Linked DNA regions of Canis lupus familiaris. The protein of the gene in region 2 interacts with the protein of the main gene of each other region in a pairwise test. Links are inferred from orthologs where the notes say so. Each region holds a gene or a part of one and is shown on either strand. Other genes may lie near its edges.

Region 1 (8,019 bases), about 25 Mb from region 2:
TGGTGATTGCATCAGTTGATTTTTTTTTTTTTTTTTGCATCGGTTGATTTTTGAATGTGAGGCTAACCTTGCAGTGTTGAGCTAAGTTATACTTGGACATGATGTACTATTTTTATAATATACTGCAGGATAGGTTTGCTAATAGGGATATTTGCATCTACATTCACATTAGGATATTGCTTTATAATTTCTTATAATGTCTTTACCTACTTTTGGTAAAAGGATAATGTTGAACTCATTAAGTCTAGAGAAGTATTCCCTAATTCTTTTCTCTTGAAAGGGTTTATGTAACATTTGCATTTTTTCCTTATGTATTTGATAGAAGTTATAAGTGAAGTCATCTGAGCATAAAATTTCTTGTGAAAGGATTATAATTCAATCCTTTGACAGATATAGAGCAATTTAGATTTTGTTTCATCTCTTGTGTTTTGATAGTTTGTCTCTTTCAACTCCAGAATTTCTATTTGGTTCTTTTTTATTGCTTTTCTTTTTTTTTTTTTTTTTTTTATTGCTTTTCTCTTCTGAGATCCCCACTTCTTCTTTCTTCAATATTGCTATACCTCCGTGTTTGAACACGTTTGTAATAGCTCTTCTGAAGTTCTTGTCGGCTAAATAAAATCTTTTTATAAAGGTGGGGGCACGTAGGTGGCTCAGTCAGTTAAGGGTCTGCCTTCGGCTCAGGTCATGACCCCAGGGTCCTGGGATCAAGCCCCACGTTGGGCTCCTTGCTCAGTGGGGGTCTGCGTCTCCCACTCTCTCTGGGCTCTCTCTTAAGTACATAAATATTTTTTAAAAATAAAAGCTTTTCTTTGCTAATTACAAGTTCTGGTCATCTGGGTGTTGCTTCCTTTTTGTCTTGATTATTGATCACACTTTCCAATTTCTCCACATGACTAGTAATTCTTAATATCGTACTGGGCATTTTAGATGATAAATTCTGTCATCTTATTCTCAAGCATGACGGATTTTGTTCTGACTGCCAGTTAACTGGGTAGGACTCAAACTCCAAACTCTGCTTCCTCTAGGACGATAAGCAGCTAAGCAGAGGTTTCCAACTGTTGCTTTCTGCTGGGACCCCTGAGGTCTCTCAAGGCAACAACACGTGTACTTCAGTGATCACTATAAGATTTGGGTGGTTTAGAAGCAGATTTGGGTCCTTCTCCCCTGTGGCTTCTACTTTTCCATGACTTGCCCCACTCCAGTAGCCCTTAATTTTCAACTCTTGATTCCTCAGGTGAGCAGGATGGCACCTTTCTGCTGGAGTGAGTGCATTCAGGTGAGAAGGCACACAAAAGACATCTCGCCCACCGTAGCTCACTTCTTTTAAGGCTGACTTGCTACTTCTATTTGCTTTTTTTTAAAATTTTTATTTATTTATGATAGTCACACACACAGAGAGGCAGAGACACAGGCAGAGGGAGAAGCAGGCTCCATGAATCGGGAGCCCGACGTGGGATTCGATCCCGGGTCTCCAGGATCGCACCCTGGGCCAAAGGCAGGCGCCAAAACGCTGCGCCACCCAGGGATCCCTTCTATTTGCTTTTGATGCTCTCCTGGTCTGTCAGTTATTGGTTTTCTATAAATGTTATGCAGGAAGGCTAATCTGATACAAGCTTCCTTGCCACTAACAGAATAATAAATGCTCTATTTGTTTCCATGGGGAAATTTGGGGAGATTTAAAAGAAAATGACATCATCACTACCATAATTTCTCCAGAATTCCCAGAGGAATATTTTTGACCAAACAAGCTTTATATTCACATACACTTGACATAGTTCTCTTCTCTTGCCTCAAGTCCAGTGATTTTATGTGTGAATCCCATTATGTTTTTTCAGTATAAGACATAAATACTGGCAGGTAAGCCAGCCATAAAACACATTTAAAATAGAATTTAAGCCTAGAACAAGATAAAAATTCTTGATAGTGACAGCAAATGCCTTACATGGTCTGGTCCTGTATACCACTCCAATCTCACCTAGTTCATTATCTCCAGCCACCTGAGCCTCGTTGTTCCTCAAATACCAGAGCGCCTGCTATTTCTATTACGTGGAATGCTGCTCTTTCTGATCATCTAGGTCTCTGGTCAATTATTGTATCTTCAGAGAGGGTTTTCCTGATTATCCTACCAAGAAGAGCCAACCCTCTTCCCAATCCCAATTATGTCCTAACATCTTACTCTGCCTTGTTTTCTTCATAGCACTAATCACTGTCTAAAATTATTCACTCATTTCCTTGTATATTGTCTGGCTCCCCTCCAAAGGTAACCACCAAGAGGGCAGGAGCTTTGTCTTGCTCACCAATGTATCCTTGGTGTCTAGAATAGTTATCTGGCACAGAGTAGGTTTAATAAACACTTATTAAATGAACAAATGAAAAATAATATGGTAGGTGTTGAGGTATATCACATTTTTTTCCCATTAAACTCATGTGGCAACAAAAGAAATGAAGATAACTGAAAATATGTAAAAAGTAATCAGTATCATATAAACTATAAGTCCCTCATATTTAACTTTTTAAAAAAGATTTATTTATTCATGAGAGACACACAGAGAGAGAGAGAGAGGCAGAGACACAGGTAGAGGGAAAAGCAGGCTCCATCCAGGAAGCCTGATGTGGGACTCGATCCCAGGACTCCAGGATCACGCCCTGGGCTGAAGGCGGCGCTAAACCACTGAGCCAGCCGGGCTGCCCCCTCATATTTAATTTTTTAAAAACCAGTATTTCATTTTACTTTAGGACAGTGAAACATTGTACATTATAAAATTATGTGAGTCAACAAACCAAACAAATTCTCAATCGGTAAGAGGAAAAAAACCCTAACTGAATAGAAAGAAACAGAGAGAAAAAAGTAAGGAAGGAAAGGAAGGGAAGAAGGGAAGGAAGAGAAGTTATGGCTGTCAAAGTTGTTTAACATATAGAAATGAAGTAAACTTATGGCAGTGAAATTTGGAGATAAAGGGCATATAACATTCATTATAACTTGAGTTAAGGCAATAGGCTGTTTAAGAACTCAAGAGACAATAGGTACTTACTGATAGTATTTAGCTTCAGAAGATTTATATACTTAAAAATACTGTTATGTGTTATGTGTTATGTGAACATAATCATTGTTCAGGCTCACACTTTTATTAATATTTTATTTTATTATTCTTTTTATTAAAATTACACTGTTCAAATTAAGTCACACATGAAATTAGGAAGAAAATCACTTTGGTATATTATTTAAACCTTCTAGAATAAAATGCATGCAAGTTCTTCCAATCATGCACAACTAACAAGATGAGGTACAAAATGGACATTTATTTTTATTCTCAATAGAAGATCAGAGTTATAATAAGTTTCTCAGAAACCATTGTAACAAATTACTTCATGGTACAGAGTTGCCATAGAAATTTTCCTGGTGAATGGCAGGTGGGACAGCTGTTTCACATGCTTATTTCCCAAATGTAGAATTCAACAGAAAGGTATTAATAGAGGAAAACTTAATTCTTGAAAAGGAATATGTTAGAAATATAATACTTTCTTTTTCCATGTCAAGAATTTCAATCTAAATTAATCAAGCTAATTGGTTTGTTGTAATAGGAACCAATGCAAATAGATTTCATTAATAATGCAATCCAAGTATATGAAACTCTATCTCTATTTAAATTAATTCCCTTTGAAAATTTTCTGTAAGAGCCATAACTTCACCAGAAATGCTCACAAGGACCGATTCACAGATCCAACAGTATTACAAATGGACAAACTAATAAATATACAACATAAAAAAGTAATAATCAAGGATGAGTCTCCTGGCTCCCAAATCATTTAATAGTATCAGACTTGGCTGTGATTACTATTATCTTCAAATTATTTAGGATAGTGACATTCTAACTTGTGAATGTCAAATAAGTCCCATATGAATGCTGCTTCTGCATTAAGCTTAAATATTCAGTGCTTAATCTTGATCTGGAAATGCTGCTACCGTGGTTTTGTTTTATAACTCGATATCCACCAAACGGATAAAAAGAAAAAAGAAACGAGGTGAAAGTGGGAGGTGGGGAGGTTTGTGGGCAGGATAATCTTCATGATCTTGGCAGGTGGGCATATTTTTGCCTTAGAGCTAAACACATTTTGCTGATATTCAAGTATCCCAAAGTGAAAGATTTACAAGGGCAAAGAAATAATTATGTGAGCGAAGATTTGAAAATCTATAGCACATCAAGTCATTTGATGTTGCATTTTTAGCAAGACTCTTCTTTCACTTGCACTGCTATGTAGGACAAATCACTCTGCTCACTCTTGACATCCCAATCTGCATCTGGGTCTGAGTCACTGGAGTAGATGTCAAAGAGAGAGCTCCTCCTAGGCTGCAATCCGTCAGTCTGAGTAGTGGCATTACACAGTTGTGTTCCAAACACTTTCACTTTGGCCTGAATACCTGAAAGAGAAAAAACACAACTGCCTGTGAATTACATTTTGCTTGTCATTTATCTTTCATGTACAAAAGACAAATTCAATTATCAATCAGTTGAAGAGTCAAAACATACCAACACTTCCGGTGAGGGGGCCTTTTCAGAGACAACTGTGTACTTTTATGCACTGGGCCTTCTTCACAGTGAGTAGGTACTGAAGTGACACTATAAGATAGATTATTAGCAGGGACTTGTGTTTGTTTAACTTCATTTTCACATGTAATCTAAAAATATAAACCAGAGGAGAACTATATTAAAGGCAAGTCCTGACTAGTGCGGTTTTATCTTTCAAAAGTGAGTTGTAAAAGAGTATAAACAATAGTTTTCAAGGTCACATATTAGGAAGACTGGAGTTTGGACCCAGGCAAGCTGGCTCCAAAGTCCAAGTTCTTAAGAACACTGCCATGCTGTTTTTTTTTTTTTTTTTACTATATGCAAATCACAAATTGCTAAGCATTCTGGTTAAAAGGAAATCTGTTATTATTTGCTTACAACTCATTATTTTCCCCTAAATCAATACTATTAGCATTAAGTTATTGGATATCATAGCAGTAGCATTATTCTAGAAAACCTAATATAGGCTACTAAGACCCAGCTTAAAGAAACTTTGTGAAAAACTTTTGTGAAGAGTCCCTTTGTAACAGGAATAATTATACCTAATCCTACTGAGGATTCGTGTTTATAAAATTATGACCTATTTCCACTGGCTGTAACTACTTCTAAGCCAAGCATTATGAAAGTCTAGAATAAGGACATATTTCTTTACAAAACAATTTATTCCTGAAAAAACAAATGGCATTTTAGAAATTGAATCAGGCTTTAAAAAATAACTTGTTTCCATTAGAACAAAGATACCTTTTATCACTAAGAAAAATTTGCATCATACAGAGAAGCAAAAATAAACTAAAATTTACCCATAATCTCTTTATTCATAGCTAATAACCTTGTATTTTGGAACTTTTTTGGTCTTTTCTATGTGTTTTGTTTTTTTATTGGGATCATCTGTTGTATAGTTTTGTTTTTTCTCTAATATATCATGTTTTGGGGCACCTGGGTGGCTCAGTTGGTTAGTCACCTGCCTTCAGCTCAGGTCATGACCTGGCTTTCTGCTCAGCCTACTTCTCCCTCTCCTCCAGATCCCCCTGCTTGTGCTCTCTTTCTCTCCATCAAATAAATAAATAAAATCTTAAAAATATATGTTTCTATGCTATTCAATATTCTACATAATTTTTATCGCTGCTTACAATCTTTTGTACAGATATACTGTAACTGATTAAAACAATCTATATTGGAAATCTTTAGACATAAATCTTTTGTGCACATATCTGATTATTACTTCTTTTTTTTTTTTTTTAAAGATTTATTTGAGAGAGCTAGATACAGCAAGCATGCAAGTGAGCACTGAGTGAGGGGAGCAACAGAGGGAAAGGGATAAGCAGACTCTCCACTGAGCAGGGAGCCTGATGTGGGGCTTGATCCTAGGACCCTGGGGGTCATGACCTGAGCCAAAAGCAGACACTTACCCAACTGAGCTACCTGGGTACCTCAATTATTACTTTGTCACATTAACAGAATTTCCAAAATGTATTTATCAACTGGAACATAAGCCAAAATAAAATATTTGAAATGAGGCAGAGAGAGACAAAAGTTTGGAAAATATAGAAAAGGTGACAAGACAAAGTAGGGAAGATGAAAAAGTATTATATATGATATTAATTGTAGTACCAGAAGAAAAGAGAGAAAATGAGATAGAAGCACTATCTGAATAATATCTGAAAACTCACCAAAATGGATAGAAGACATTAAGATATGGTTTCACAAAAGCACTATTTGTATTTATCAAAGTAAAAACAAAGGAAGCCATACCTATGCACTTTACAGTAAGACAGAGAAAAAATTAGAAGCAGTGGCAGGAAAAAGGTAACATTTTCTTCAAAGGGGCAACCATAGGAGGATAATGCCAAAACTCTAAGGATACAGAAAGACTGAAAATAAAAGGATATAAAAAGATGTACTATGCCAACACTAACCTAAAGAAAGCTGATGTTGCTATGTTAGCACTACATAATACAAAAATTGTTAGAAGATCAAATATGTAAACTCAAAATCAGAGTGGTAGATTTTTAACATGCCTCTCCCAGTATTACTTAATACAGTTAAGTAGACAAAATTCCATAAGGATAGAACATCTAAACATGATTTTTTTTTTAAACATGATTAATAGACACATATGGATCACTGTACTCAACTGCAGAACATTCACCTCAAGTGCATATGGAATATTTACAAAAACTGACCTATGTTTTGCCTAATACAAATTTCAATACATTTCAAAGGATTAAATTCATATGCTGTATATTCTCTGGCTAAAGTGTAAATGACCTAGAAATCTACAACAAAAATAGAACTACAAAATGCCTGTAGGTTTGGTAATTTAAAAATCTACTTCTAAATAACCCAAGATAAAAGAAATTTACAGTGAAAATAAAAAGGTATTTTAAGCTAAATAATAATATTCTGTATCAAAAACTTGTGCAACAGTTGATGCCATGCTTACAAGGGAATTTATAGTCTTATATACATAGAAGAGTATAAAAAATAAGGCTTAATTTAGATTGAGATTATTAACATCACATAAAAAACTATTCCACAAAATATTTCTAATATATTCTCATTTCAGGAGTCAATTTTTACTCTATTAATACCACTCTAGGGAATTCTACAATTAGGAAATAAGCATGTGAAACTCAGATGCCCCTTTGACCATTTATATGAAAATTATGAGCCCCATGATCCAATCTAACTTGTTAAGAAGTTAAAAGAGAACAGTAAATAAAAATTTTAAAAATAGAGGATCCAAGAGTGAATTGTAATGTAAACTATGGACTTTGGATGATAGTGATATGTCAGTGTAGGTTCGTCAGTTCCTTTTTTTTTTTTTTTTTTTTTTTCCGTCAGTTCTAACAAATGTACCACTCTGGTGGGGATCATGATATTGGAGGTACCTATGTATGTGTGGGGGCAGTAGGAATATGGGAAATTTCTCTATAGTCACCTCAATTTTGCTGTGAACCTAAAACTAAACAAAATGAAGTCTTACAAAAATAATTTGAAAATACTGGAAAAGTAAAAAAAAATTTAAGCAGCTGGGCAAAAATGGAAGTATTTGGTAATTTAATGTTTTGTCTTCACATAAGTAGGTTATTTTTAAGATTTTTTTGCATGAATATGTACAGATATCTTTGAGTGAAGTTTTTACTTTTTAACAAGTTTAATGGAAAAACAGATATGAAAAGATCTCTATTAATCACTTACCTCAGTAATATATAAATCTAACCTATCAACTAAAAAATCAAAGTTGAAGAAATAAGTACAGAGAAGGATGAATGATAGAAAATAATGGAAAAAAAATACCAGAGAGAAGACAACATGGCAGTTTATTCTTTGAAAAGACTAATAAAAATCGATAAACACCTAGTGAAGCAGATCCAAAACATAATAGAATGTTTTAAACATTAAACAGAAAGATACTGGTAAGTTGGTCTACATTTTTTTTTTTTTAAAC
Region 2 (8,019 bases):
CAAAGTTATATATATATATATATATTTTTTTTTTTGGTTTACATTACTTGTTTTGACACTCTCTGACTTTAGTTCCTTCTCTTTCTGACTCTTATTACAAGTACAAAATGGCACTTGATAAGAGTAAATTAAAACTCATTTGACATAAGGAATTTCAACCCAAGTATACACTATTTGCTCAAAAGAATGACTGCTATAGCTGATTATACCTAAAAAGACCATGGAGACATCGGAAGGGCAGATGGGCTAAGTTACATCTATGCAAGGAAAAGGACTGGCATTAGATGTTGTGGAGACCCGCAGTACATGCATAAAACCCAAGTCAGGTCACCAGAATACACATCATACAGGTTTATCTTGCTTTCCAATATGTGATCTTCTAGACACATGCAAAATTATAATTAAGTGGTGATGGTTGTGCAAAAGGAAAAGGCCCTTAAACTGAAAAGGCCCTTAAAATTATATAACCTATTTTAATACACTTACAAAGTTTTGATTTATAAAAATTTTGTACTTACATTTGGAGAGACATGTAATATATAACAATAATACAAACATATGTAAGAAAAACAAATCTGCTCAATAAAGTGGACAAACCTAATATGTGAGCTCAATACCAAAAAAATAATTTTAGAAGCATGGATGCAATAATATTCAGAAGGACTTAATTATAAGAATAAGGATATTATATAACACACTGAAGCACTCAACGGGGCTTTGAAGTCATCTCTAAATAAATTAAAGTCAAGTGTTTTTGTTCTAAATTCAGTCCTGATCAGAATCAAATCTTTAGACCTATAAATCCAAATAAAGGCGATATGCTAGTCTGAATCCATTGTATTTCTGGTAGAAAGAAACTTTGGAAGAATACTTATTGAACTACCAGCAGGTCAGCATTTTATTAAGACTAACAACATGTTTTTTTTTTTTTTTTTTTTTTTTTTTGACTAACAACATGTTTAACATCAAACAACACACTTTACTGCAAATAGGGAATGAGGCAGCTTCTGCAGGAATCTCTGAAATACCATTCAGGAACACAAACTCATGCAATTGCCTTTTTTATCTAGCACAGAAAAATATATCATACTCATACAGTTTATAAATAACTGCCAGTCTGGCCTAACCAATAATCTTTGGTAATAATGTCTCTGAACAAGTATAGACAGGAACTCCTTTTTGATCTAGAGAGCATTCTAGCTCTGTTTTAAAAGCAGACTTCAGAGGCTACCTGTGATAGTAAGGGAAGGAGAGAAAAGAATACAAATGAGCCTAAAAACTCACAATTCAAGTTCATTCTGAGTAAGTTCCTTGATTCTGTTCATGCAATGGTCAACAGCATTGATGAGTAAAGGGATCCAACTATCTTCTGGCTGTGGGGTCACATGACTCACTCTGCAAGTGGAATGAGGAAAAAAGAGAGGTTAAATTTATACTGTCCAGGGAAAATCTACTCTCACCAGGGAGCATAGAGGAAAACTAGTAAGACAAGGCAAGTTTCTTTGTAGAATTTAAGCTGCTCTGCAACTGAAGTGGAAAGAAAACACCACACCCACCTTCTTCCACTTCTTGAAATGGGGCTTTGGGAATTGAGAATGACTGGATGGGCTTATTCTCAAAAAAGCTATTTGGAGAGAAGTCCTCGTACTCACTTAGTAATTTCAAGTGCCTTCTTTAAGACAGATACAAGTTTCGCAGACTAGAAAAGAAACAAAGAAGTTACTTACCCTGAGCCCTACATAAAAAGGGAAGGAGAGCTAACATATATTAAAAGACTCAAGTAATAAAAACCTATTAAAAACAAAAACCCTGAAGGAAACTTCCAAAACAAAAATTCTGATTGGATTAGAGTGGTAGGATTATAGGATTCTTCTCTCTTTACAAAATCTTATTAATATTATTGCTATAATATTTTTATAAGTTTAAAAAAGTTTTAGTACTTTAAAATTTAAAAAAACTAGAAAAAATCAGAATATAACCTGAATTTACCCCAACTGATGATAGCTCCAAATATATAGCTCAAACAGCTGTTACTTTAAAAAAAAAATCTATGTACAGAATTTCAAGCATACCAATAACAAGATAACATGAAGGAATCGTATGCCACCAATATATTTTAAATTTTTAAATTTTATTTTTAAATTTTAAAATTTTTATTGGGGTAATTGACAAGGCATAGTGCCAAATGTTATTTCTTAGGAAGTCAATTTCTAAAAAGTGAATGTGAAAAAAAAAGTTAACACCCGAAAGGATCCTATTCTACTTTAAAGTATTTACATACTGTAAAGATACATTTGATGAATTTAATTTCCACTACCTAATTTATCAAATATTTTTAGATTTGGTAATTCTGAATGTAAGATATAATAAGCCATTTGGCAGTTTTACCTCTTTTTCCAATAACTATACAGATAATCTGAGTCTCTAAAAATAAGAAAATAGAATTATCTCTAGCACAGAACCCAGGACTTGAAAGAATACGATTAAGATCAGATTTTTACAAAGAGTTTGACCCTCTAGTTAGATCATCCAATAGGTTTATATTAGAACAGATTTTGTTTCTGGACACTATTTTTGCCCACACTAGAAATCAGAATAATGACTTTAGGTTAACAGGATCCTAAAGTATTGTGGTAATTCAGACTTTCTTTTCAAAGTAGCATTTTCTAAGGTCTTTGGGTTTTTCTAAGTGATTACCCAAGTTGTTACAGAAGAGAGTACTACCAGAACTCGTGGCTATTATAACTATAAATATTATAAATATTTATCGAACAGAAATACAGGTAAGAACTGTGACATTATCGTTGTACTCGCATCCAAGTGTAATAAATAAATATATTCCCTAGAGATTAAAGGAAATACTAGTGGCTAGTGAAATCCTACCAGTAGAGTCACTAGCTATTTCTTCAAAGTTGGTACTTACATTGATTCGCACAGTCAAGTGGCACATAGGTGGATATATGCTCAGAGCCAAATCATCCACACTAAGGGCAGAAAACAAAAATAATCATTAACAAAAAAAAGGAACAAAGCTCAACTGGGTAATTTCCAGTACACAATTAAGGAGTGACCAGTGAGGATATAACTGTCCCTTAAATTCCTATCAATTCCTTAAATTGGGCAACTAGAATCAATTCAACTGATATTTACTAAACATGTATAGACCCCATTTCACTAGGAAGCTGGGAGGAAAAAACTCCCTTGGCCCATATGATAGGACATGATTAATTCAGTTAAAAATGAGAGGATCTGGAGGTGTCTAGGTGGCTCAGTGGATTAGGCATCTGACTCTTGGTTTTGGCTCAGGTCATGATCTCTAAGGCCAGGCCAGAGATGGGAGATCGAGGCCCACCTCTCTGGGCTCAGTACTCAGCAGAGTCTGCTTCTCTAATCCCTCTCCTTCTGCCCCTCCCCTCTCCCCTGCTCAGTGCTTTTGGTGCTCTATTTTTTTTTAAAAAAGGGAAAATCTGAAACCATCAATTTAATAACTGATGCAAATGGAGTTCATCCATGGAATGCCACTCAGGTGGGCACTACTTTACCCAGGTGATGAAATTTAGTGCCACCAATAATGGGAGAAACTTAACACTACATGCCTCTCCAATATGATACAATGAGAAGCATAAAACACTCAAATATATGATATCCTTGCCAAAAAAATATTTAACTTGAATATAATCTATAATCATGACAAAGACAATCACATGAATCTTGAATTTGGGGTATTTTACAAAACAACTGACCTAGATTCTTTAAAAAGTAAATGTCAAAAAATACTAAAAAGGACAGGGACTGTTATAGTTGCAAGAGACAACCAAAGCAAACAACTGCAAGAGATGACAATCAAATACAATGTAACACCATGATAGAACCCTGGATTAAAATTTTTAAAAAGCTATGAAATACATTTTAGAAATAAATGGAGGAAATTTGAATATTAAATATTATTGTCAACTAATATTCGATAAAGGAGGAAAGACTATCCATTGGAAGAAAGACAGTCTCTTCAATAAATGGTGCTGGGAAAATTGGACTTCCACATGCAGAAGAATGAAACTAGACCACTCTCTTTCACCATACACAAAGATAAACTCAAAATGGATGAAAGATCTAAATGTGAGACAAGATTCCATCAAAATCCTAGAGGACAACACAGGCAACACCCTTTTTGAACTCGGCCACAGTAAGTTCTTGCAAGATACATCCACGAAGGCAAAAGAAACAAAAGCAAAAATGAACTATTGGGACTTCATCAAGATAAGAAGCTTTTGCACAGCAAAGGATACAGTCAACAAAACTCAAAGACAACCTACAGAATGGGAGAAGATATTTGCAAATGACATATCAGATAAAGGGCTAGTTTCCAAGATCTATAAAGAACTTATCAAACTCAACACCAAAGAAACAAACAATCCAATCATTAAATGGGCAAAAGACATGAAGAGAAATCTCACAGAGGAAGACATAGACATGGCCAACAAGCACATGAGAAAATGCTCTGCATCACTTGCCATCAGGGAAATACAAATGAAAACCACAATGAGATACCACCTCACACCAGTGAGAATGGGGAAAATTAACAAGGCAGGAAACAACAAATGTTGGAGAGGATGCGGAGAAAAGGGAACCCTCATACACTGTTGGTGGGAATGTGAACTGGTGCAGCCACTCTGGAAAACTGTGTGGAGGTTCCTCAAACAGTTAAAAATAGACCTGCCCTACGACCCAGCAATTGCACTGTTGGGGATTTACCCCAAAGATACAAATGCAATGAAACGCCGGGACACCTGCACCCCGATGTTTCTAGCAGCAATGGCCACGATAGCCAAACTGTGGAAGGAGCCTCGGTGTCCAACGAAAGATGAATGGATAAAGAAGATGTGGTTTATGTATACAATGGAATATTACTCAGCTATTAGAAATGACAAATACCCACCATTTGCTTCAACGTGGATGGAACTGGAGGGTATTATGCTGAGTGAAGTAAGTCAGTTGGAGAAGGACAAACATTATATGTTCTCATTCATTTGGGGAATATAAATAATAGTGAAAGGGAATATAAGGGAAGGGAGAAGAAATGTGTGGGAAATATCAGAAAGGGAGACAGAACGTAAAGACTGCTAACTCTGGGAAACGAACTAGGGGTGGTGGAAGGGGAGGAGGGCGGGGGGTGGGAGTGAATGGGTGATGGGCACTGGGGGTTATTCTGTATGTTAGTAAATTGAACACCAATAAAAAATAAATTAAAAAATAATAATAATAATAAAAATAGAAAAAAAAAAATAAATATTATTGTAATCAATGTTAAATTTCTTGGATGTAATAATAAGAATGTTCTTAGGAGATACATGCTGAACTATATATGGGTGACATGTCATTGATGTCTGCAACTTACTCTCAAATGGTTCAGGAGAAAAATAGCACATCTATCCATAGAGAAATAAGCCAATATTGGAAAAAAAAAATGTGAACAACAGGTGAATCTAGATGAAGGCTATATGGATGTTCACTGCAATACTTTTTCAACTTTCCTGTAGGTTGAAAATTTTCAAAAAACTGGGAAAAGCTTGGGGTGACAGCACAAGCTGATATTATATGCTGATGCTCACATTTCAAGTGGGGATCCTGCTTACCTAGGACTGATCTCATCAGAAATATCCACAATGTCGTCCAGCTGGGCCACCTGATCCTTCTTACCATTCTCTGCCACTGAGATCCGGATTTTCTTCAGGCAGGCTTTGGATGCTCTCACCAGTGCAAGGCACGGGATTATGAGCTCTTGATCTTCTTCTGACCAATATAAGTCCCGATTGTTTGGATACCCCAACCCATCATTCTCTTCATCACCATTGTTGTCAGAGTTGTCCTCAGTGTCATTTAAGAGGCCACAGTATGGGTCACATTCTTCTACGGCCTAAGACATGCCAAAAAGAAAAAAAAAAAAGAGCCTATTATACTTACAGCATCATATCTAAGCTATCCCAAAAACGTCAAGCCAGCTACCAACGGCCACCAATTTGAATCACTTCCTAAACTCCGTTCTTACTCTCCTAGCCCAGTAATGGACAGAGAGGAACGGTACTAAAACACACAGTGGCATGGGCTAGAAGATGGGAGTTGAAATCCAGGAGTGAGGATGGGATTTATTGAATCAATGCCCAGGGCATCTCCTTCCTTTATAGTCTCATCTATCATGGAGTTGTCCCCTCACCTGCTCCATTTCCTCATGTGCATCCTTCACAAAATCCACATTCTTCGTCAGCATTGAAAGGGCTGCAGCTTTGTTATCTATGAGTGAAAAATCAGAAGCACTAGAATTAGAGAAGAAACCTCAAAATTCTGTCAAGCCTGCAAATGACAACCAACAGTGTTCGCATTTGAGGAGAGTACCCAGGACAGTCAACAAGAGCGTGGTCTAAAGTAAAAGTTTTCTAACACCCATCCTCTGGGTACTCAGATAGGAGTTAAAAAGCTTTTCATCATTCACCACAAGAAGAAACAAAATGGTCCCTTGATGTTTCTCATTGTGGTCTTCTTGGACGAACACTGTTTTTGATCTAGCTGGCACTATCTCCTAAGTGCTTCAGTGTGTCCCATAATACTGCTCCTGGGGCAGGACCAGGAGAACAAACCACATCTGTTCAACTATATAGGGCTACAGAAAGAGGGCTAAAAAAAGTATAAGAACTAAAAACACTAAGAAAAAATATTAATACTTCTCTTTTGATATTGGTGATAAACTCTATGTATTCCACTAAACTATAAAGTAAAATACTTACATGTCACAAAACTAGAAATGAGATATGAGAGAACTGTCTGCCTTGGCCAGCAGAGTCAATGGCCCGTTTCCAGTTCTTACCCACCTTTTGGTATTCGAGGTACCTGCTGGCATGCAGTCCAGACACTGTTGTAGGAAATAAGGTCACTGTTCTCTAGGCTGGAGAAAGGAAATCAATAAGGATATATCAATAACCAAGGTTCTTCTTTCCTAAAAATCTCCTTCCTGCGAGTCATCATTCACAGCTGTTAGTAACTCTTGTTGAAATGAGGTTTTTTCCCCTCCCTGAAGCAAGGAATCCCATTAACTGACAACCCAAACTATGGCATCACTACCTCTGAGCTGGAGTTATGAAAAGCACATCCACAAGTTGAGCCATTCCATCTACGATGTCCAGAGTGGCATTCCGTACCAGCTTTCTCAGGGTGATTCCTAAAGAAACCCAAAGACTAAGTAGCCTGGTCTTCTTTCCAGAAGTCACCATCTGCTTTCTCAAGAGTTTAAGCCCTTTAGAACTTGAGGTAACATGCACCCACATGCTTGAATTGCAGTGCCAACACAAAACTCAAGTCTTATGTATTTCCCCATATCATTTTCTTGTTCCTCCCACTGAGTGCTGAATGAGAAAGATCTGAAACAAAATCTTTCCATGACAGCATGTATATATTCATTAAGGTTAATGGTCTCTTGATAACTGTGGATGAAACACTTGAAGTTTAAACCATCTGTGACTAACCCTGAAGATCCAGGAGACACGTATTCATTTATAATTTTGGCACAATCATAATCAAAGCATTAATTTATGGGCAGGGACAGAGGTCATTTAACCTGTAAGGGAGCTCAGAAACAGGGTGGGATGTAATATGGGTGGAGGAGACTGGGGAGGCCCCTATAGATCCAGCATCCATAGTCGTTAGAATGAGTTAGAGATGGGGTAGCCAGTAAGAATTAAAAGCCTTACAGTCAGGCAAAGCAGGGAAGATGGTAATACAGCATCCATACCTTAGCATAAAGGCTTATTTACGGATGTCACTGATGTTATAGAATTACCCTTGAGTGCATTTTATGGGAGAAAGTTACATTACATGCTCAAATTGAGGAAAAGGTAAAAGTTTCAGGACAGAAGCTGTCATATTAGCAAAGATATACTCTATAACCAAACATTTCTGTATATACATTGGCTTACCTTGATCCTTGGGAAGTGAATAGTATACTGTAATGATTTCCTTGATGGCAGTATG
Region 3 (8,019 bases), on a different chromosome or scaffold from region 2:
GCCCTGTCTCTTCTTTTTCTTAAAGTTACTTGAAAATACAGTCTGATTAAGAAAAACTACATGTTATCATATTTGTACATTCTTTTATAAGATAAATTACTTGGAGCTAAGGCAGTCATTACTTTGTTTTACATCCTAGTAAAATAAATTCTACAAAGGAAATAAAAAAATTAAGGTACTGGCCCTAGTATGTTTCTTCAAAGAAAAAAGTTATAATATGTTGTGCTTTTCAAAAGAAAATCCTATCAGAAGCTGAGACCAAGTTAGTGGAACAACAACTTGCAGAAGAAAATAAGCTTTTAAAGGAGCAAGAAAACATGCGAGACGTTGTCTTCAACCTTGTCCGTATGACTCAAATCAAAATTGATGAGAAGGACCAAAAATCCAAGGATTTCCTGAAAGCTCAGGTAACTGCATTTTTGTAACCATCCATTACTTACCGTAAGAGTTCAGGAGATCCTCAGCTGTACACCGTGTTCGTTAGGAAGCTGTAATTGTATCCTTCAAGTTTGACTACACAGCTTCCCCAAACAAAACTCAATCATACAGTGTGAAAAAGGCTTTCAGGATTCAACTAGCGATAGTCAGCAATCTAGAGGAAAAATGAACTGGGTCAATGACAATGAGCAGAGGATTCAAGCACATGACAACTTCAGTAAGAATAAGGTAGGGACCTTCCAGGGCAGAGCGGACAGTGCACAGGTGGCGGGTCTCTGATTCCCCAGCCGCTCACAAGCCACCAGGGCTTGTCCAAGAACAAATCAAGAGCAGTGGCCTTCGCCTGCTGTCCCTCCCAAGGCCATCAGGCCAGCATTGTTTAGCCCGATGCTAGGATGCCCTTAGTTACTGCTCCAAATCCCTGACTTTACTGGGCTCCCAACAAAGTACCGGAGTTGACCCAGGGCAACATCCCAAACCAAAAGAACAATGAAACCAATGGCAAAAAAAATGACTGTGCTGTCATGCCAGCTAAAATCATTTATTCCACGAAAGGATTATGTTCAGAGGTTTCCTGTTGAAAATGAATGTAATGTATTACTAAAAGAGAATTCCTGAATTTAGCATGGGACCCAGATGTTGGCTGTTTCCGAGGGCAAACTTTGTTTTTTTTTTTTTTTTTTTTAAGATTTTATTTATTTATTCATGAGAGACACAGAGAGGGAGAGAGAGAGAGAGAGGCAGAGACACAGGCAGAGGGAGAAGCAGGCTCCATGCAGGAAGCCTGATGCGGGATTCGATTCTGGGACTCCAGGATCAGGCCCTGGGCTGAAGGCAGGTGCTAAACCACTGAGCCACCCAGGGATCCCGCAAACTTTGTTCTGAGCCAAGCATTTACACAGGGTAGCATTTCTTCTTGGAAAAGCACCTTAAAATCATGGCCTTGGGGGTGCTGGGTGGCTCAGTGGTTGATCACCTGCCTTTGTCTCAGGTCGTGATCCCAGGGTCCTGGGATCAAGTCCCACATCGGGCTTCCTGCAGGGAGCCTATTTCTCCCCCTGTCTGTGTCTCTGCCTCTCTCTCTCTGTGTCTCATGAATAAATAAATAAATAAATTCTTTTTTTTTTTTTAATCACGGCTTCGGCCTCTCACAAAATATGACAATAGCATCTGTCAAAACTAACTACAAATCCCCTCTCCTCAGCTATCCTCCACAGACTCCTCACTTACCCAGCCCGTCTGTGCCATCCACACTCATTCCTAGGCTCTCTCAAAAGTTCCCCAAACTTTTCCTCAAAGCCAACCTGTAGAGGCTCTTTTCTTTCCCTTTTTCTTGTTCTTTCTTGTCCTTAATTCAGTTCAGCTGGGCAGACAGCTTCCAGATCTCTCCCTTACAGTTTCCCCTCAACTGTACAACTCAGCTGGCTAAGACCGACTTCTCCTCCTTACTGGACAGGAATGAGCTAGGGTGAAGCTGGAGTGTCCATATGTTGATGGTGGTGGGCTTTTCTTTCTTTTTTAATTTCACACTTAATTTTCATATTTCAGCAAAGATATACCAACATTGTTAAGGAGATCAAAACAAAGGATCTTGAAATCAGGATACACAAGAAGAAAAAACGTGAAATTCATCGCAGGTAAAAGAATTACATGATGATCTATCTTGTTAGGTGGGGAAAAAATGGATTTTATTTCACAAGTTTCAAAAAAAAAAAAACCCTCATGTTTCCACAGACTCAAAGAGTTTGCTAAATTGTATGACACTATTCGAAATGAAAGAAACAAATTTGTTAACTTACTTCACAAAGCTCACCAGAAAGTAAATGAGATAAAAGAAAGGCATAAAATGTTGTTAAACGAACTGGAAATTTTAAGAAATAGTGCAGTTACTCAAGAAAGGTAAGTGTAATAATAACTATTGTCTTTTCAAAAGTTTCTCTTCTGATTCATTGAACTCTAAAATACCTGGGAATAGTAAAGTAGAAGATATTCATATAACAAAGCTGGAAGAGCCCTTGCTCAAAGATGCTTTACAAATGACACTCTAAGCATCTGAATGCGATTCTGTATGCTTCCACGTTGGATAGCCATATTTTTAAGTGAATAAAAAACCATGTTTGTATACTGTTTTAATTTACTGAATTAGAAAGAAAAGCACAAATCTGATCACTTTGCATTTAAAGTTGGAAGACAATCAAATATTTATTAACCAGCACCCCCTGGATATAGATTTGAAGCATCTACTGTGCTTGTAGGAGGCCGTACAGCAGAGTGGTTAAGAGAGGTAGCTTTCTAGACTCAAATCCCAGCCCCGCAGCTGACTGGCTGCATGCCCTTGGGCAAGCTAACTTACCTCTCTGGGCTCGCTTTTCTTATCAATAAACATAGTCCTTATTTGGGGCATCTGGGTGGCTCAGTCCGTTAAAAGTCTAACTTTGGCTCAGGGCGTGACCTCAGGATTCTGAGCCCTGCATGGTACTCCAAGCTCTGCACTCGGCAGGGAGTCTGCTTGACCCTCTCCCTCTCCCCTTGCTCGTGCTCTCTCTCTCAAATAAATTACTGCAGTAGCCCCTCTTATCTACGAGGGATACATTCAAGACCCCCAGTGGCTGCCTGAAGCCACAGATACTACTGAACCCTAAATATTCTATGGGGTTTCCCCCCTACACATACATACCTATGATAAAATTTAACCTATAACTCAGGCATAGTAAGAGGTTAATAATAACTACTAATAAAGTAGAACTATTATAGCAATATACAGTTAACTCTTGAACAACACACGGGTCACAGGGGGCCAATCCCTGTAGAGCACTTAACTACTAATAACCTCCTGCTGACCAGGCACCAGTTGATTAGCAAATATTTGGTGTGTTATATGTATTATATGCTGTATTCTTACAATAAAGTAGGCTAGAGAAGAGAAAATGTTAAGATGATCATAAAAAAAGAGAAATACGTTTACAGCACTGTGCCGTATTTGTCCCAAAAAATCACATTATAGGTGGACCCACGCAGTTCAAACCTGCGTCGCTCAAGGGTCAGCCGTACTGGAATTCGTTATGTCAATGTGGTCTCTCTTCCTGTCCCTCAAAGTATCTTCACGTACTGTACTCACCCTTCTTGGGGTGCTGGGAGGTGACAAACGCCCAGGTCCCCGCGTGGACTACGTACTACTCCTGTCGTTCTGAGGGACAGACTACAGCCCCAGAGACTTTGATACTTTCTGAAGTCTTCATTATTTTTAAAGTAATCAAAGGAAACGATCATCTTCCCCGTTTTCCCATTATTTTTAAAGGAAGCTCCAAAATTCCATGCTGAAACATGCCAACAATGTTACCATCCGTGAAAGCATGCAAAATGATGTGCACAAAATTGTAGCAAAACTCCAGGAAATGAAAGAGAAGAAGGAAGCCCAGCTGAATAACATCGACAGGCTGGCCAGTATGATCACCACCGTCGAAGAGGAGATGGTGCAGCTGCGCAAGAAGTATGAAAAAGCTGTTCAGCGTCGAAATGAAAGGTAAAAAGCCAGGAATCTGGGGGATCCCTGGGTGGCTCAGCGGTTTAGCGCCTGCCTTTGGCCCAGGGCATCATCCTGGAGTCCTGGGATCGAGTCCCACGTCGGGCTCCCGGTAGGAAGCCTGCTACTCCCTCCTCCTGTATCTCTGCCTCTCTGCCTCTCTCTCTATCATGAATAAATAAATCTTAAAAACAAAAAAAAAAAAAAAAAAAAAACAGGAACATCATGTGAGCAATGAAACCCAGAGATCCCATTTAGGCAGGTTGCCTGCCCCTTTTCCTCTCTAGACTTGATGGTGGGTAGTGGGGGGCATTTGACGTTTTGGGTTCACTCGCCTCTTGTGGGGGTGCAGGGGGGGGTGAGCTGCGTGTGTGGCCTGAAAATAAGAAGTTGTTCTTTTAAGAGAGAGACAGGCAAGAGTAGGCTTTAGGTGGGTGTAGGTGGCTCACTCAAAGATCAGGGGTCTTCCCCAAGCTACCCTTCAGGCTGCCCCTGATACCAGCAAGTTATTTCAGTATAATCGACATAAATAAGTCTTCGGATCTTGTAACCACCTTTGTGACAGGTTTGGTCCTAGTATGATATTTGTCAAGTAATTCTCCCAACTCGCTTTCTCAGCAGGTAAGACTCTTCGAAGAGCATTATTTTTTGCAGGCTACGGTTATGTTACTCACAGTGACTGCTGTAGCGGGGTTCCCAAGCTGCCTGAGCTATGGGGAGCTCTAAGTGAGATTGTAGGGATTGCTTCTGGCCTCATCGTGGCTTGACTGTGGGCTGCTCCACGTGAAGCCACATTCTAAGCATTGGACCCTACAAGCACAGAAAGGTGGTAAATCATTGCTGCTGGCTTCTGTTGTCAGGAGAAATGAGAGGATCCCCAGAAGAGCCACTAAAATGGCAGATGAAATATAATAATCTTAACATTAAGATTAAGCAAATCCAATTATGTGTCCACACACTATAAGGGAAGAGAGAGAGAAAGAGATAAAAGCAACTAAAGATGAACTCTGGGATAATGGCTATGCAGAGTGTGGGAAGAGCTTCAGGGTGCGAAGGACACTACTTTTTCAAACTACTGGCAGGTGTTTTCTCTGAGAGAGAGGGGAAAAAAGTGCTCTTATTTGGCTCTCGGCACAAAACAAATTATTTAGGCAGTATGTTTCCCAGGCCCTGGTCAGACCTGTAGGGCTGGAATTGGAAAATTCTTACTTTGTTTCTTTCCCACATTCTCCTCACATGGAGGGGTCTTTCCCCTGGCGTGATTACAAAGGACAGAGCTTTGCCTGTTTAGGGGGAAATCTGCATCAAAAATATTCAACTTAAAAAAAAAAAAAAAAAAAAACCCTAATAGGCCTGGCAAGTTCCATAGAATCACTGCAGAAACACATTCCCTGGCCCCCTGCCTGGGTACTTCTGGCCAGACCTCGGTTGGCAAGCCGGGCCCAAGAAACGGGTCTGCAGAAAATCAGATTATGGGGTCACTTCATTCATGCATGGGGAATGACATTTTTTTCCCACCCTCAGAAAGCCTTTGGGACTTGCAGAGATACTGTGACCAGCCAACTGCATGATCAGCTCAGAGCAGAGACACTAAACAACCCTCCCTCTCATATCCCCAGGAATACTTAAAGTGTTTAACTAGAGAGCAGACAGTAAATATCTATTGTCTTCTGGAATTCCGTAATGTTGATGTTTTGTGCCCAAATCCAGAGGGAATTACCATAAGTCTCAACTTCCTCTTAGCCTCTGCCTCTCCTTTTGGCCATAGTGGTGTTCAGCTGATACAGCGAGAAGAGGAGGTGTGCATCTTTTATGAAAAAATAAATATCCAAGAGAAGATGAAACTAAATGGAGAAATTGAAATACATGTCCTGGAAGAAAAGATCCGATTCCTGAAACTGAAGATTGCTGAGAAACAAAGACAAATTCACGTGACCCAGAAATTATTGCCAACCAAGAGGGCCCTGGATGCTGACTTAGCAGTGCTGCAAATTCAGGTGGGGGAAACATTCATCAGACGCTTCCTGGGGCCATTTGCCTCCCCTCACTTTATTGGTTTGAAGATCATATCAAGTTCTTACATGTAAACTGAGCCAGGCCCTTCCTGGTACCTGTACAAACCCATGAGTTACGTGTCTTCTTTAAAACTGCCTCTGCTCCAGGGCACCTGGGTGACTCAGTCGGTTGAGCGTCATACTCTTGATTTGGGCTCAAGTTATGATTTCAAGGTCATGAGGTCAAGCCCCACTAGGGCTCTGTGCTCAGTGGGGAGTCTACCTGAGATTCTTTCTCTCCCTCTGCCCCTCCCCCCCAGCTTGCTCTCTCTAAAATAGATAAATTAAAAAAAAAATTCTGCTGCTCCAGGTGGAATTTATGTTTCAGGAATGCAGGCTACAGATGGTTCCCCATGAAGCATTTTCTGCCTTCCTTGGAATTTAAGCCCTCCCGAATCTCAGCACTAGCTTCCTTATACCTCAAAACTTAATGAGTCCAGGCCTTCACTGCCACCAGCATAACTATGTTTTTCATGCTTGCTAGAAAGATCTTGGAGACCATCTCATTCTCTCATTTTTAGAACTCCTAACCTTAGAAGCCGAGATTGCTATTTGTTAATTAGCAATCACATATAATTACACTCCTTATTAATCCCTGTAGTTTCCCTGCCATTGAATAGCCTGGTCTCTGACACAGTCTTTTTAAATGTAGAATAAAGCCAAACAATTTAAACATGAAATAATAATATATAATAATATACATACACATATACATAAAAAATTATGAACATAAAACTACTTTCTTCACATGTAATTGTTTTTTTCTTAATGAAAATAGAAGAAAAAAATTAAATAAAGATTTGTGTCTTACACTTTTTTCCATTGACTCAACGTAGCAGGAACAAATTTTAACCTATAGTGTGTTTTCTAAAATGTCAGATTTGTTTTCAGTTTTTTTTCCTGATGATAAAATTAAAACATGTTCAGTTAATGAAGTTTTGAAAAAATACAAGCATTTAAAAAAATAAAATTCTATTCCTGTGATACAATCACTATTAAAATTATCAAAAATCTGGCAGAGAGCCTTCTGGTCTTTTTCAAGATATATAAGTAAACGGTTTTCATTAGCTCATGTGTAGACAGTTTTGAGTCCTGGTTTTGTTTTTTGGGGTTTTTTTTTTTTTCCATTTAATCTGTCATGGGATTTACATGACTATGGAACCAGATAACGGGTCTACTTTCATATTTTTATGCCATTTGAGTGTGTAAATGCTTTATCAGTGATGGGATCTTTCATTGTGCATAAATGTACCAAGGTTCTAATTCCAGTGTGTGTTTGTTTTTTAAGATTTTATTTACCTATTCATGAGAGACACACAAAGAGAGAGAGAGAGAGGTAGAGACACAGGCAGAGGGAGAAGCAGGCCCCATGCATGGAGCCTGATGTGGGACTCGATCCTGGGGCTCCAGGATTAGGCCCTGGGCTGAAGGCTACACTAAACCGCTGAGCCACCCGGGCTGCCCCATGTATGTTTGTTTTTAGTCATAAGTTCTCCTAATCACTTCTTTCATAAGTGTAGCCTGATGTGGATGGGTTGGCTGGCACTCCCAGGAGTCCCTCAGGTCTCCAAGGTCACCTCCCCAGGATTCCTGTGGGTCTGACTCCTACTACCAATGAGTGGTTCATATGAAGGATAGCCCCCCCCCCGCCACTGGCACACACACTTTCTGGTTCACTTCTATGCCCCATCAATGCAGATTCAGGACCAGCTCCTTCTTCAGCCTACCTGCACAGAACCATTCATGCAAGACCTTAGTGAACTGATTGACGATTTGGGGCAACAGCATGATGGGGTACATTATAGAAATGTGAAGAACCTCAAATTCAGTATCAGATACCCATACCCGCAGAGCCCTACGGGCAGCCACCCCATCACTGCTAACAGTGTCCACGTGTGTTGGCCCATGCAGCACCCTAGCCTGGCTCCATTTCACCTGCTTGCCTTTCCACCTTTCATCCTCTTCTCTCCGCAGCCCCACCACCCCACAGTGTCCCCCAGGCAC

Evidence for each region. The genes of interacting proteins can lie anywhere in the genome.
Region 1: the proteins of CCNDBP1 (region 2) and THAP10 interact in binary tests that used the Homo sapiens proteins (3 or more experiments, as listed by UniProt). The two-hybrid records come from large-scale screens. The link is inferred for Canis lupus familiaris from reciprocal best matches to the Homo sapiens genes CCNDBP1 and THAP10.
Region 3: the proteins of CCNDBP1 (region 2) and CCDC146 interact in binary tests that used the Homo sapiens proteins (3 or more experiments, as listed by UniProt). The two-hybrid records come from large-scale screens. The link is inferred for Canis lupus familiaris from reciprocal best matches to the Homo sapiens genes CCNDBP1 and CCDC146.

Annotation. Positions count from the first base shown.
Region 1 is NC_049251.1:35,005,378-35,013,396, forward strand, and holds the end of THAP10 (THAP domain-containing protein 10), read right to left. Parts: intron 4,679-8,019; coding exon 4,536-4,678; coding exon of another isoform or gene 4,530-4,535; intron 4,441-4,529; coding exon 4,224-4,440; 3' UTR 3,281-4,223; downstream 1-3,280.
Region 2 is NC_049251.1:10,351,046-10,359,064, reverse strand, and holds part of CCNDBP1 (cyclin-D1-binding protein 1), read right to left. Parts: coding exon 7,965-8,019; intron 7,211-7,964; coding exon 7,114-7,210; intron 6,938-7,113; coding exon 6,864-6,937; intron 6,289-6,863; coding exon 6,212-6,288; intron 5,915-6,211; coding exon 5,634-5,914; intron 2,985-5,633; coding exon 2,924-2,984; intron 1,700-2,923; coding exon 1,653-1,699; intron 1,396-1,652; coding exon 1,281-1,395; 3' UTR 1-1,280. UniProt on the Homo sapiens protein: May negatively regulate cell cycle progression. May act at least in part via inhibition of the cyclin-D1/CDK4 complex, thereby preventing phosphorylation of RB1 and blocking E2F-dependent transcription.
Region 3 is NC_049239.1:17,668,212-17,676,230, forward strand, and holds part of CCDC146 (coiled-coil domain-containing protein 146), read left to right. Parts: intron 1-236; coding exon 237-407; intron 408-440; exon of another isoform or gene 441-914; intron 915-1,986; coding exon 1,987-2,075; intron 2,076-2,172; coding exon 2,173-2,337; intron 2,338-3,736; coding exon 3,737-3,961; intron 3,962-5,729; coding exon 5,730-5,958; intron 5,959-8,019. UniProt on the Homo sapiens protein: Essential for sperm flagellum biogenesis and male fertility.